Macaca fascicularis: one gene and its partner. The protein of the gene in region 1 purifies or fractionates together with the protein of each later gene. This does not show direct contact. Links are inferred from orthologs where the notes say so. Each region holds a gene or a part of one and is shown on either strand. Other genes may lie near its edges.

Region 1 (3,657 bases):
ACTCTAGTCTGGATGACAGAGTAAGACCCTGGCTCAAAAAAAGAAAAAAATAGTTTTAAAACATTGCTGTACAGCCACTTAATATTACACAGCCATTTAAAAAAAAGCCATTAAAGTGGTCAGGCCGAGCATGGTGGCTCATGCCTGTAATCCCAGTACTTTGAGGCAGGTGGATCACCTGAGGTCAGGAGTTCGAGACCAGCCTGGCCAACATGGCAAAACCCTCTCTCTACTAAAAATACAAAAATAAGCTGGGCATGGTGGTGGGCACCTGTAATCCCAGCTACTCAGGAGGCTGAGGCAGGAGAATCACTTGAACCCAGGAGGCGGAGGTTGCAGTGAGCTGATGTCGCACCACTGCACTCTAGTCTGGGTGACAGAGCAAGACTCTGTCTCAAAAAAAAAAAAAAAAAAAAAAAAAAAAAAAAGTCATGCTACATGCAATGAAGTGTCCTGGATTAGCTCCTGGAACAGATAAAGGATATGACTAGAGAAAGAGTGGTAAAATCTGTAGTTTAGATAATAGTAATGTACTGAGGTTAATATCTTGGTTTTGACAAATGTACTGTGGTATATGAAATGTTAGCATTTGGGGAAACTGGGCAAAGGGTATGCAGAAATTTTCTGGGATATCTTTGCAATTTTTCTGTAAATCTAAAATTGTTCCAAAGTAAAGTTTATTTTAAAGATTATGAAGTTTATGTAGTATAATGAAAAACTGCTTACAAACTAATGTGGAAAAAAGTAACCAGAACACAAAATTATAAAGATGCTACTTTATAGCTGTGTGAAACAGCAGCAAATACCATTGTCACTGTCAAGAAAAAGTCAAAAAACTTACCTTTCTACAGAAAAACAAAGGCTAGGGGAACTATACCAAAATGTATTAATATTTTGGTGGTGAGATTCCATGATCTTTTTCTCTTTCCCTAGTACTTTATGTTTTCCAAACATTCCTTTTGGGCTATGGATCACTTCTATAATGAAGAAAATATATCCTTATTTGTAAAATGTGACATCTGAAGGTTGGCTTTCTATTGCAGCCTTGTATTTTGTTCTTAAAACTTTCAGAAAAAGGGTTAGAAAAATCTCCAAAGAGAAATGTGGGGTATAACTGTCTTGCATGTGGGGTTACGGTGGAGGGGCTGGGCTGGCTCAGATGAGGAGTTATTACTTCAGGGTGTTCCATTCATCTTCAGAAAGCAGAAATCTCTCATCAGCTCAGCTGTTTGGGCAAAAAGCATATTAGGAGTCATATTGCTAAGTTCCCTTACCTTTCTAAGTCTGCTGCTTTAGCGTAAAAGGTCCTTTTAGCTCCAATTTGGGTGATTATTCTACTAAAAATGGCCCTTTTAGACCCTATGTTTTCCTGAGGGACTAGTATGTTGGATCTGCATTTGTTTGAGCCGTTTACTCTAAAGTTGACTCTAGGTGGGGCCTGTGAACACGTTAGTCCCTGACCTTCTTCAATTGCACCTTGACCTTGGTCATTTTCCCTGTATCCTTTGGATTGTGCCTGCTAGGGCCACTGGTGAACTTCAGCTTCACAGATTTTCAACAAACATCGCTTGTGTTTTTGAATAATAAGTATCTACCTTCAGAAGCTGGGTTACCTGGGTCTTTCTTAATCTTCCTCTCTATGAGGTGCCCAGTGTCTCACTTGCAACACTACCCTGCCTGTAGAAGGGAGTCAGGTGCATGGATCGTCCTCTGGACTTTAGGTGAATCCATATTTGTTTTCCTCCAATTGTAAAATAAGTGAGACCCACCTATTCTTCATCTCAGATTATTGTGGAGTTCTCTCTTTTTTTTTTTTTTAATCACAATTATGTACTGGTTCTAATGTTCTCTTTTGTGTGTTATTCCATCCCTTTATCTGTAGGAATGCCATTACACTGTGCTTGGAGATGCTTTTAAGGAATGCTTTGTGAGGAGACCACATCCCAAGCCAAAGAAGTTTTCAAATTTTGATAAAAGAGAAAAGATATTCTGTGCCCGACAGAACTGCAGCCATGACTGGGGAATCCATATGAAGTACAAGACATTTGAGATTCCAGTTATAAAAATTGAAAGTTTTGTGGTGGAGGATATTGCAACTGGAGTTCAGACACTGTACTCGAAATGGAAGGACTTTCATTTTGAGAAGATACCATTTGATCCAGCAGAAATGGCCAAATGATATCAGGGCCTCAATCTTCAGCTACAGGGAATGAGTAACTTTGAGTGGAGAAGAAACAAACATAGTGGGTATAATCATGGATCGCTTGTACGCCTGTGAAAATATTTTTTTAAAAATATCTTTAACAGTTTGTATTATATTATATATGCAAAGCACACATGAGTGAATCACAGCACTGAATATTTTGTAGGCCAACAGAGCTCTTAGTACTTGGGAAAAATTTAAAAGCCTCATTTCTAGCTTTCTTTTTAGAGTAACTGCCAACAAACACACAGTAATCACTCTGTACACACCGGGATAGATGAATGAATGGAATGTTGGGAATTTTTATCTCCTTTTTTCTCCTTAACCTACTGTACATTGGCTTTTGCCATTAACAATCTACTGAAATTGTTCTTTTGAAGGTTACCAGTGACTCTGGTTGCCAAATCCACTGGGCACTTCTTGACCTTCTATTTGACCTCTGCACATTTGGCCCTGTTGAGCACTCTTCTTGAAACTGTCCCTGGGCTCTTCTCTCTTCTAGTTCTAGTCTAGTCTTTTTTATTGAGTCCTCCTCTTTGCTGATCCCTTAAGGGTTGGTAATTCCAAGGGTTCAATATATATACATGTATATACTGTAAATATGTATATATAACTATTATACATACATACAGGTATGTATATGTAATGGTTATATGTACTCATGTTCCCTGTGTAGCAACATGTGGTACGGCTACACAGAGAACATGAGTACATAAAGCCATTTTTATGCTCACTACTAAAAGCTGTCCACTCTAGAGTTGCTGTATGTAGCAATGTGTGTCCACTCTACAGTGGACAGCTTTTAGTAGTGAGCATAAAAATGATAAAATATTTCTTGAAAACTTAGTTTACTATATATCTTACCCTATTAATATGTTCTCTTAATATGTGCCATTGTTCTCTTTGACGATTTTCCTTTAATGGTTGATGTTCAACACCTGGACTGAATGTCTGTTCTCAGATCCCTTGGATGTTACAGGTGAGGCAGTCTGACTGTCCTTTCTACTTGAAAGATTAGAATATGTATCCAAATGGCATTCATGTGTCACTTAGCAAGGTTTGCTCATGCTTCAAAGAGCTTAGTTTGCGGTTTTTCTAGACATGGAAGCAAGTGCCTGAGTTCCCTGGAGATCAACGGGATGAGGTGTTCCAGCCGCCTCCCTCTCCATGCAATCTAGTGAGCAATGGTGCAGGCAGGGAGCCAGAGAAACTTGCCAGTTATATAACTTCTCTTTGGCTTTTCTTCATCTATAAAACAAGGATAATACTGAACTGTAAGGGTTAGTGGAGAGTTTTTAATTAAAAGAATGTGTGAAATGTACATGACACAGTAGTTGCTTGATAATAATTACTAGTAGCAGTATTCTTACTAAGATCCAATACAAATTGATTATTTAAACCAAGTTTATGAGTTGATTTTTTTTTCATTTTCCATTTGTATTTTATTAAGAATG
Region 2 (2,564 bases), on another chromosome or scaffold:
CATGGTCAGGCTTGGCCTGTTGCGCGTGTCTCTTGTATGCTCATGGTGAGTTCTGTTTCAGGAACAGATGGAGTCTGATAACTGCTCAGGAGGAGACGATGACTGGACCCATTTGTCTTCAAAAGAAGTGGACCCGTCCACAGGTGAACTCCAGTCCCTACAGATGCCAGAATCCGAAGGGCCAAGCTCTCTGGACCCCTCCCAGGAGGGACCCACAGGGCTGAAGGAAGCTGCCTTGTACCCGCATCTCCCACCAGGCAAGTGAACCAAGAGTTCTGTGTTCAGTCCTACCTTTCCCTTCAGAGCATCCTGCCCCCCGATTCCAGCGACACAAACAGGATGGGACGTTCTCCACTGCAGGGCTTGTCTGTAGGTGTGGGAGGTTAGGAGTTGGTTTTGTCCTCTTACGTCTACCCTGAGCAGCAGTGAGTAAGCTCTGCTAATGCAGGAGTTCTAAAAATGTTTTTCTTTAAGCAAACTCCAGAGCCAGGAATATTAATTGTAGGAGTTTCTAAAACTTAACATGCAGACCAGGAATTAAGGTAGGTGTGACACAGAGAGGGGGCAGCACTGGGTGTGTCCCTACTACTCACACTGGGCTCAGACCTCTTCAGTGTCTCCTCAGGGAGTGCTGGTCTGAGTGGGGGTCATAGCCAAGATCCCTGGAAGAGCCAGGCAGAAGCCACCGTTGAAGTGGATGGTGTGGAAGGCAGCGGTGGGGGGTGGGGACAGCTGACAGAGACTCCTCATTGTCACTGCAGCCGTGTGTGTGTAAACCAAGGTCTGTGCACAACCTGCTGTGCGCTGCCAGTGTGTCTTCTCTGCCTTAGGGCAGGGGATGGCGAGCTATGGCCTATGGGCCAAGAGTAGTTCTTGTATTTTTCAATCAAAAGATGTGACAGTTAGAGGAAATGCGTATTTCAGTGTCCAGCGATAGTTTTGTTTACATACCACCTGGCTGCCTTGTGTCACAGTGGCAGAGTTGAACAGTGTGAAAAAGACTGGTTGGCCCTTTACAGGGAAAGCAGGTCCACTGTGGCCTGTGAGGGCCAGAGCTCTGGGCACTCGGACACTGGCAGGCCTTGGTCCCGCTGGCCAAGGCAGGAGGGTGTGTGTTTCGGGTCACTCACAGGGCTCAGCATCACTCCTCATGGCTTCCTTACTGTTTTGGCAGAGGCTGACCCGCGGCTGATTGAGTCCCTCTCCCAGATGCTGTCCATGGGCTTCTCTGACGAAGGCGGCTGGCTCACCAGGCTCCTGCAGACCAAGAATTACGACATCGGGGCGGCTCTGGACACCATCCAGTATTCAAAGCACTCCCCGCCATTGTGACCGCTTTTACCCACCTCTTCTGTGTCCCCCTCTTCTGTCTCGTAGCTGTTAAGCTAGTGTAGAATTGCAGGTCTCTGTACGGGCCAGTTTCTCTGCCGCCTTCCAGGATCAGGGGATCAGGGGTTAGGGTGGAAGAAGCCATTTAGGGCAGCAAAACAAGTGACATGAGGGGAGGGTCCCCGTGTGTGTGATGTCTGAGAAGCAAGACTGGTCTCCTGGGTGCTCTGGTTCCCTGCAGCAGGGCTGGGCCTGCGAGACCTGAGGCTCACCGCAGTGCTCCTGGCCCCTCCCTGCAGGGGCCACATTAGCAGCCCAGACATAGCTTGCCTAATGGCCTTCCACTTTCTCTTTTTAAATGACTCGGAGGTCCCTGACATTTAGTTGATTTTCTGCTAGAGACCTGGTACGCTCTGATTTTAGATAAAGGATGCCTAGGTGTTGTTGGCGGGTAAGCAGGGGAGGCGGCTGTCCTGGCACAGGCAGTGGGGAGGCCGGGGCAGCCAGTGTGGTGGGCTTCCTGCTGGGACTGAGAAGGCTCATGCAGGGCATCCGTAATGTTGGTTTCGCTGAGAGCTGCCTCCTGGTCTCTCCACCACTGTAGTTCTCTCATTGCCAAACCATCAGCTGCTTTTAAAATAAGATCTCTTTGTAGCCATCCTGTTACGTTTGTAAACGATCTAATTAAATGGCATCAGCACTTTAACCAATGACATTTGCATAGAGAGAAATGATCTGTTTGACAGTAAGTTTATTGGTGGTTCTTATACAGTATCTTTAAAAGTGCCTTAGGGAACCCTGTCCCTCCTAACAAGTGTATCTCGATTAATAATAACCTGCCAGTCACAGATCATCATCAAAGTCTTCACCAGTTGTAAAGAGGTCACACAGTCGTGGGAGTTGGGGATTCTGTGGCTCCTGGACCAGGGGCCCACCCTCTGCCCAGGGAGTCCTTGCGTCCCATGAGGTCTTCCCGCAGGGCCTCTCAGGCCCGGATGTGGTGGGGTGTGTGGCCCGAGGAAGCTGGACAGCGTCAGTGGGCCTGCTGAGGCCTTCCCTTGAGGCCTGTGCTCTGGGGGTCCCGGGGGTCCCCTGCTTAGCCTGTGCTGGAGCAGCTGGCCCAGGATCCCTCTGAAGAGGCGTTGGCTGCTCTCTGTCCACATGTGAACTGTTTCTAGGTGACAGGACAAATCGCGCCCATTTAGAGGAGGTGGCGGTGACCTGCTGGGCAGGAC

The links. The genes of interacting proteins can lie anywhere in the genome.
Region 2: the proteins of RIGI (region 1) and SQSTM1 purify together in Homo sapiens (affinity purification with western blotting; 5 studies listed by BioGRID). This does not show direct contact. The link is inferred for Macaca fascicularis from reciprocal best matches to the Homo sapiens genes RIGI and SQSTM1.

The regions. Positions count from the first base shown.
Region 1 is NC_088389.1:66,632,966-66,636,622, forward strand, and holds part of RIGI (antiviral innate immune response receptor RIG-I), read left to right. Parts: intron 1-1,882; coding exon 1,883-2,179; 3' UTR 2,180-3,657.
Region 2 is NC_088380.1:186,728,016-186,730,579, forward strand, and holds the end of SQSTM1 (sequestosome-1), read left to right. Parts: intron 1-61; coding exon 62-257; intron 258-1,174; coding exon 1,175-1,332; 3' UTR 1,333-2,039; downstream 2,040-2,564. Other genes in the region: MRNIP (MRN complex-interacting protein), read right to left, coding at 2,173-2,564. UniProt on the Homo sapiens protein: Molecular adapter required for selective macroautophagy (aggrephagy) by acting as a bridge between polyubiquitinated proteins and autophagosomes.